2 linked regions of the Caenorhabditis elegans genome follow. The protein of the gene in region 1 purifies or fractionates together with the protein of each later gene. This does not show direct contact. Each region holds a gene or a part of one and is shown in the gene's direction. Other genes may lie near its edges. The genes, in order: F54D5.4 and R03H10.2.

What was found.
Region 2: the proteins of F54D5.4 (region 1) and R03H10.2 fractionate together in Caenorhabditis elegans (co-fractionation; one large-scale study listed by BioGRID). This does not show direct contact.

The regions. Positions count from the first base shown.
Region 1 is NC_003280.10:11,567,608-11,571,541, forward strand, and holds F54D5.4 (DUF19 domain-containing protein), read left to right. Parts: upstream 1-2,210; 5' UTR 2,211-2,211; coding exon 2,212-2,269; intron 2,270-2,439; coding exon 2,440-2,673; intron 2,674-2,716; coding exon 2,717-2,808; intron 2,809-3,115; coding exon 3,116-3,211; intron 3,212-3,256; coding exon 3,257-3,337; 3' UTR 3,338-3,397; downstream 3,398-3,934. Other genes in the region: F54D5.23 (Ovule protein), read right to left, coding at 1,348-1,428, 1,561-1,635.
Region 2 is NC_003280.10:4,153,706-4,158,908, forward strand, and holds the start of R03H10.2 (uncharacterized protein), read left to right. Parts: upstream 1-2,067; 5' UTR 2,068-2,069; coding exon 2,070-2,234; intron 2,235-5,203.

The DNA.
Region 1 (3,934 bases):
CGCCTCGGGAGGAGACGGATATGACATTAAGGGTATAATGGGCATGAGAAGCATGAGAAGCATGATAGATGTCAAATGCAAATTAATCCGAGTTTGAAAATAAGCAGGAGGAATCTGTTGACCTCTCTAGAATACAAACACATGAGATTTTACAGTAACGTAACTAGATGCTAAAGAATCTGGAATTCATGAACAAATATAATATGTTTTCCGTCAGAACTTATTTGAGGAAAAAACATTCGAAGAAAATGGTTTTTAAATTAAATTTTGAATATTGGCCAATTAGACAAGACAATATTTCGTGGGCCCCACCACGCCTTGAACGCGTGTACTGTAGCCTGAAAATTTGTTTAAAATTTTAAGAAATTTGAACTTTAGAAGATATTTTCTGTCAGAAAATTAATAAAATAAATAGTTAGTGAAATGAGACTAAACTATAACTTTTGTAGAAAACGTTTGAAAAATTGCAAAGCTGCCCAAAGTATATCACTCAAAAACCGGTCAAACTACCAATTTTGGCATCTTTTTTTTTTTGAAAAAAATCAGTACACACTGACAGAAAAGTACGAGCAAACAGAAAAATAACCGCCGCTGAAGGCAATTCAAATAAACGTTCGGCATTGATCCTTTGAACTGTCCAGAACAAAGGGTGGTGATTGCAACGGAGCAGTAGTCGGTAGCCGGGAGGTATAACTGAACCACGTAGTAGAATTAGAGTGTGTAGTTGAGCAAGATATTATCTATGTACCAAGTTAGCATTAGTTATTGGTAAGTAGCAATATTGATTTTTGTTATCTAAAGATCTTAAAACCACTTTTATAGTTCTAAAATCACAAAATAACACAATTAATCTCTTCAACAAGAAAAATTAATTGTTAAAAATTGAACTTTTTAATAGACTTCGTTTTTGCCTACCACAGTTCAAAGAAGTTTAAACAAGGTTTATATCTTAATTTGGTTTAACCTTTGTTGCACTCGAAACTATTCAAAAAAGATACCAATATTTTGATAATTTGGTAATTTACCAAAACTTTATTTAAATATTGCCAAAAATCTAGGAAATTTTAGTGTTTCATTAGGAAATTTGGGTATTCTATGAATTCAATTTTCATGCAAAAAAAAACAACAAAAAACAACAATAAAATAAACTTTCCTCACAAAACAATAACTTATGTGAATGAAAAATGAAATCGCTGAGAGATTTTTCCGATGAGCAGCTGTTGTTAGTCCGCGCGGAAGGGCTCACTCTCTTTAGCGGCTACCGTTTATTCTACTCAACAGGTGTATACGGTATGTCGTCCGATTTGACTAATTGAAGGTAGTCGTTCACACAGGAAAAGACACAATTCACAGATGGTATTTGTTTGCTTTTGAGGTGTGAGAAGAAGAAGATGGAAAGGGTGACTTCAGAGGTATCCCATTGAGATGCTAAAAAAAAAAAATTGATTCAATTAATAATGGCTAACTCCTGTATTGAAAAGGCAACAATTGAAAGTATTCGGCAATTTGATTGAAGTTTTGACAGTACTAGAAACATCCACGCTTATTGATAGATCTGACCTCTACAATACGTTCTGGCTCAACAGCCTGATCCAAGTGCTCGACAGGCATCTGATGTTCCAATTCTTTATCCATCACGGTATTCCACGTTTTTTTTGCTGGAGCAATCAATTGCCAAAAAAAAATAAGACCATTTTTTAAACAATATTTCAAAAAATATAGATGATGTTTTTGATTTTTTGCACCAACTCAAACCCTTACCTCTTTCAAATGTCATTTAATCAGCCAAACTTCAATTGCCACTTAGATAAGAATAATGAAATCATCGTTAGGTTTCCATATAAAAATGTATATCAGTTTGTAAAAAAACCTAGTTTATCAATGCGAAATAGGTTGAAATAGTATTTCCTTTGTATATACAGAAGATTTTTTTTCAACCTTGTGAACACTTTATTATATTTTTCGGGCACTTTATTTATTTAATGTTTTACTTCCTTAATCTGCCATTTAAAGGTATTCTTCCAACTTTGAATGCACCGTTACATCTACTAGATGTTCCGGGGGTGACTAGGGCCCCTAGCGCCCACCATAGCCAATATTGTCAATTTTTCGGAATATAACCCGTTGTTAGAATTATTTTCTTATAAGGTTAAATTCTTCCGTTTTTGGAAGTGTTTCCGGGAAAAATACAGTATTATCTTATTTTGTAGAATGAACCAAATCGTTTCTGCTTTGCTGATCTTTGCAGTCGGATACGCTACTGGAAATCGTGAGTTTCTTTTCTTGAATTTAAGAATTAATAAACTCATTTTGTCATTTAAGTTTAGCCAAAACATGTTTAGGTCGCAAATTGTTACCATGAATTTGTCATAAAAAGGTTCAGAACTTCCACATGGTTAGGGCTTAGCTCCTCTCAAATTCGAATCTTTTAAATTCCAGTTTGTACTGACGACACTGGTTATTGGATCAGTTCCCTTGCCGAAGGTGTCTCTGATTTCGCATATGGAGGAACTAGACTCAACACCAAATACTATTGCTTTGAAGGATGCTTGAATACTGGAACTGCTCTTCAAAATTGCAAAGTTGATATGTCTGGAAATAATGGCACAAGAATTGAGAGATCACGAGAGATTAAAGAAGTAATTGCTTTGCATCAACTTGCTAGACAAAGAGGTTCTAGAAGTTAAAAATGAAATTTCAATAGAATTTTGTTTAGACGAGGATCCAAATGCAAAGTCCTGTGTAGATCCAGTTTTGAGACAAGACGTCAAGAATGCTCTTCAGAAAACTACGAGAAGCAATTGCAAGGTTTGAGATTTGACTTCAGCTTCGAAATTCTGGAAACTTTGAAATCCTGATTCTCCAAATCATAATATTTCCTGCAACCTCAAAAAATTCAGACCAATATATAGCTTAGCTTACGGTTTGACCAATAATCAATATTTCACACACTTAACCTTATAAGGCCTTCCTGTGGGGCCTTACCTCTAGTCTTTTTCTCAGAACTCAGAATATTAATCAATTCTTATCATGTCAAACATTAAGTTCAATCTTAAATTGGAAAGATCTCAAATCAGATCAGATCCCCAAATTGGCTTACATTCAATTTTTTCAGAACATTGTCAACACCTTGGTGCTCAACCTCAATCGTCCAGGATGGGCGATCACTTGCATTCAATTCAATGAATTCGCTATTGATGATTATACTCCGGTATGAAATATGCCTAGATCTCATTGAATTTGAAATATCTTTCAGGACATGAACTTCTGCAGTTACGACTCTGTTTCTGACACTGATATCTTTACTATTCGTCTGGCAAAACTTGATATGTCCTAAACTATGGTAGTTTGGACAAACTTATCGATAATTTAGAGAATAAATATAATATTCGTTCAAATTTTTGATTTAAGCATGAAAAAATTAGGAGAAACTTGACAATTTAATATTAAAAAAAACCAATCTGTCTAAATTTTAAGTTCTGTCAAAAACTGTCTCCGCATTGCTCACACTTTGCCACGTTGCAATTTTCCCTTTTCTCATCGTCGTGTACGAATTTTTTCGTAATTTCTAATGAGTTATTGAGAAGTTCTGAGAATAGTTCAAATTTTAATTGAAAATTTCAAGAAGTTGCTGAAAAACTGACTCAAAGTCGCAATGTGCAGTTTGAGCCAGTTTTGAGAAGCTTCTCAATATACATTTTCGAGAAAAAACCTGGACATAACGATGGAAATATTCGATTTTGTAAGTATTGCCAATATGAGGTTAATGTTAGACAGTAGCTCTTTTTGTTTTATTTATGAAAATGCGGAAATTTGGCGCTTCAGATAAATCATGACGTCATGAAAACCTCTTCCATATGACGTCATATTTTTCGGTGTCAACTGAATTAACTTGTAGAAGGTACAAAGTCTAGGCTAACTGTGAGAGGTATTC
Region 2 (5,203 bases), 7.4 Mb from region 1:
CTCCTTCTATGTCTCTTTTTCTGGTTACCAAGGGACCACAGACTACTAACACACCTTTCTACCGCTTTTATCCCGAACGGGAGGGGGCACTATGCATTAATTATACTTACGAAGGTCGCAGACTTTTATCTTCGTTTGTTTTCGATTTTGCATACTTTTGTGTGTTTATTGATTTTTTTTTTCGTGTGAAATTTGAAATCTTTTATTGTCGGCGGAGCGAATTTGCATTAATGTTTTTGTTAAATTAGGTAAGAAGAAGACATTTTATATTAAAAATTTATAAAAGCTATCGATTTTCTATAATATTGGTGTAACATTTTAGGGTGTTTTAGCGGAAAGCCAAAAATTTCTGAATTTTCTTTTTAATTGTTGACTTTTTCAAACATTATTTGTATTTTACATACCAATTTTGTTTAAGAATTTAAAAAAAAAATAATAATTCAAATATGACGAAAAAACATTATCCGGACGTTAAGTTTGCTATTTTTGAGAAAAAAACAATAAACGACAAATTTTCTCAAATTCGGAAAACTATGCGTCTTTACAGAGTACTATAATTTTACCCTAAATAAATTCTGCAGTGTTTTTTTCTATTTAATTTACATAGATTTCTCACATTTTTTTCAAAAAAATAAATAAGTGCACAAAACTGAAAATTGATGAAAATTCCAAAAAGATAAATTACAGTACTCTTTAAAGACGCACACTTTTTGGCATTTAACTAACATTAGTCGTATCGAGGCCGGGTATCACATTTTTGGCGGAAAATTGCAAAATTAATTAAAATTTTGCAATTTTGCGTCTGAGTAATATATTTACAAGATGGTGGAGTTGTTTAATACTTGAGTTTTTCTAAATTCAAAAATTTCAGAGATTTTTGTGAAACTTTTTTTCTATTTTTTGGGTTAAGGCAATTTTCTATTTTCTATGTTTCAGTTTTCCGGTGTACCCCTCCACCTTATTCCTAGTGACCTTACTTGTCTCGGGTCCTTCATTACCTTCCCTTTTCGTCTTCTAAACGCATCTCACAAAAGTTAAGTGTTGACTCATTTCTCTCCCTCAAAAACCTTACATGTTCCTTTTTCGGAATGCCTCACACAACAAACCAGCGATGCATTTCCGAACACACATATGTCCACCCATAAAAGTGCGATAAGTAGATTTTGACTGTATATTCCCTGCAGGTGGTCTCTTTCTCTCTCTCTCTTCTTTCTGTCGGTTAGTACCAGAAGCCTGTCTCCCGTTTTGTCATATTCTTCTCTTTTCCTGATGCTTCTTCTCCACTACTACCACCTGTCTTCTTCTTCCCTTCCATTCCGTTCGTTTTCCTATTATCGTATTAGTATATACTAATATGCGTTTGACGTTGGAAACCTGAAGTAGATTCTCTCCGGAAGATAGATTACCACATTTTCACTAGTCGGTTGTTGGATTTATGAAGCTGTTAACACATACTTTTTATTAGCTGGACAGTTCAGGAATGGATTTGGCTTGGGCTTAGGCTTAGGTTTAAGCTTAGGCTTGGGTTTAGGCTTGGGTTTAGGCTTAGGCTTCGGCTTGAACTTAGGCTTAGGCTTAGACTTAGGCTTATGGTGAAGCTTAGGCTTAGGCTTAGGCTTAGGCTTACGCTTACGCTTAGGCTTACGCTTAGGCTTACGCTTAGGCTTACGCTTAGGCTTAGGCTTATCCTTAGGCTTAGGATTAGGCTTAAGCTTAGGCTTCGGCTTCGGCTTCGGCTTAGAGTTAGGCTTAGGCTAGGCTTAGACTTAGGCTTGTTCTCTAAATTTTTAATGTTTTTTTTGTTGCAAAGACTATAGTTTTTTAACAACTTCATGACGCATTTTATTTAAGCTTGTAAACTTCTAGGCTTATAGATTTTAATGTAAAATTTCGGGAATTGGAAATTTCGATATTGAATAAAAAAATTTCCAAACAACGTTTGCAACATTTTTCTTTAGAAAAAAAATTGTTTTTTTCTTTTTTATTTTCACATTGTCTTTTGTTCCTTAAGTTTTTATTCCAACTTTGCTAAAAGTATTTACAGTTAATTTTCAAAATTATCTGCAGAAATGGATTTCGATTTCGATTCGGAGCCAAAAACGCCTCCTCAACTACCCCCTGCTCCACCGATTCGGACAGTGTCGAATAACCCAAAAGTCACGTTTAAAGGCGCACAGACTTGGAGAGAATCTGTCGGAATGTTTTTGGTTATGGCACTGGCATTGGCAGTGGCGGTTAGTTTTTCAAATTTTCCCCAAAAAATTTAAGTTCAAAATCCGACCGCGGTCACACTTGGCCGGAATCCATCTGCTATCTTTAGTGAACCGGATATGAGAAAAAGTTTGTTTCGAAAAAGGAAAAAAAAGAAGATTATATGCACATGAATACTGCTTCACATTTTTGCAAAAAGAAATATGTTGTGTGCTTATTTTCAAACTTTTTTGGGATTGGAACTTTCCGGTACACTGAGCTTTAAACCGAATTATTAATAGGATTAAAATAAGCTGGGAAGGGGGTTCCGGGAAGATTATAAATTTTTTTTTTGGTTTAACTGGAAAAAGATTATTACTAATGAGATACTAGGTATACAAATAAATAAATAACAAAAATGCACGAAACCTTGTGAAAACTGCAAAACGAAATTTCGAAAAGACAAAATTGAAGAGTGAATTTTTGAAGCATGAGTCTACAGATATTAAGCCAAAGAGCTGAGCCTGAAAGACTCAACTTGAAGGCCTACATTTGAAGGCCTACGCCTGATAGCCTGGATGGGATGTGTCGAAAAGCCCTTGGGATTAAGTCGAAAGACTTAATCCCAAGGGCCTTGGCCTAGGGTCCTAAGCAAAAAAGCCCAAGCCTTAGCCTGAAGGTATAAGCCCAAACGTTTCGGATTCCCAAAATACTTCCTGACTCATAACTCAATTTTAGAACCAAATCTGACTGAATCACAAAATGTTTCGGGAACTCAAAAGAATCTATGACCTGATTACTCGGTTATTCTTAATAAACACCCTCTGCAGCTGTAAATACATTATGAATAGGTGCTAGTTAGATAGATCAAAAGTTTTTGTTAGATCAAAAAGTGAAGAGGAAGTCAGAAAAGTTGGGTTCGAATAGTGATATGGTCTATTAGAGAAATAATTGAATCTTTGAATCTGTGAGTCTGTGTCGGAAAAATATGTTAACTACAAACTAGGATTTTCTCCTTTTCGTAGTGAAAAATATAGTTTAGAAAAAGCTAGCTTAGTGGTAGTCCTAAACCTGAGACTCGGTTTAGGCCTACTCCTGAGCCTAGAACTAGGCATAAGCAGGTGTCTAAGCCTAAATACATATCTGAAGACCATACTTAGGTTAGAAGCTTAAGTGCCAGCTCTTGCAACCTTGAAATGCTTAACATCTACTAACCGAAGTTGTGAATCCTGATGGCCTAGCTCAAAGCCTAAACCTAGAGCTAGCCTTAAGCCTAGCCCTTAGTCCTAGGTTAATGCCTAGTCTTGGGCCTAAATCTAGTCCTAGGCCCAAACATGGCTATAGACCTAAACCTGACCATAAGCCTATGGCCAACGCATAAGTCTAGCCCTAGTCTAGCCAGTCCTGTTCCTAAAATTTCTGAAATCTGAAAAAATCTGAAACTTTTCGGTACTCTCGCTTCTTTGTTATGAATTTTTCATCTTGTTGTTCACTTTTAAGCATCTGAAATTATCTGAAAACCCTGAAAATCCCTAGAAAAAACAAGACACTTTTGATATATAAAAATGTAATTTATTACTTTTTTTGGAAGCTTTAATGTCAATTTTGGTTCAATATATACAAAGAAAGTAAGGGTTTCTAGAGTCTACAACAATTCAAAAAACAATGAAGAAAAAACAACAAAATAACATTTAAAAAACAAAACCGGAAAAAAATAGTAGTTCGAATGTGGAGAGACCCGTGAAGGCGGCTTGTGTAGATTTTTGTACAGATATTTAGAACAGTTAGGGCTCATAGAGGAGCTTTCCAAGAAGCTTAATAAAATGCAGATACACATCTGCGGAACCCACGTCGCTTCTCCTCGATAGTCCTCTGGATTGCAGCCTTGACTGCTGGGGAGCGGTGAGCATCGACGTTGGTGAGAATGTCTTGATTGATGTGGAACATTTTGTAGAGAATTTAGAAATTAGAGCAATTGAAGAATTTGAAAAACTCAAGAGATTAGAGTATTATCAGTGTGTTCTCTTGCTCTTGCTTATATAGGCACCCGTGTGCTCTGGTGATAATTGGCTCCGCCCCGCGTTATCCATCCAACCGAGCATGGTCATGAGGCGAGAGACGGGTGAACAAGAAGAAGTCAGAAGAAGATGAATAGAGAGGAGTCATAGGAGCTAATTAATCAGCAAGATTTTTTGGAGGGGAAAAGGGTACCACGAGGTTTCTCGAGCAAAGCTTGCTTGAGAAGGGGTACTGTAAGGGAGCAGAACTTTTGATGTTTCTAGAAATGGGAAAACGTTTTTTTGAAAAAAATCAAAGCTCAGCTTTGGATGAGGTGTATGCCAAAAGTCTTGAACCAAGCTTAAGCCTAATAGTAACCGTGAAGAAAGAAGCCTGAGACTAAATCTAAAGGCCCTAGTTTAAAGGCCTAAGTTTGAGCTTCAGCGTAAGCCTAAGACTAAGCCTAAGCCTCAACTCAAGCCTAAACATATGCCCAAGCCTAAGACTGAGCCTAAATCCCAAGCCTATGCATAATTCTAAGCCTAAGCCTAAACGTCAAGGGTTTGCCCAACGTTCTAAGCCCAAGAACTCGGCCTCATTTTCTTCCGAATTTGTAGTTTTTGATACCTTTTTTTCTGAATTCTCGTCAAACCTTCCAAAATTTCAAAGCCTACAATTTCCAAATTACTCTGTTTTGACCAACATAATTGCCGGCTGAAAGATCAAATTGAAACTTTTTATTCCAGAAAAAATCGGGTTTCCTGCAAAAGCCCGAGCCAATTTGTGCGCAGTTTTGCCCTATAATTTTCTCTAATTTCATGAGAATCTCGTTTACTTGAACTTTGAAAATTAATGGCTGGTGTTTGAAATTTTCATACCCCAGAAGATTCTCTTGACTGGACAGGAGGAAGAAAAGAAATATTCCAAAACATTTTAAGATTCACTTGACTTATTTTCAGTCTGAAAAACTTGAAATCCTGTTCCGCTTGGCTCGATTTTTTATCCATCTGATTTT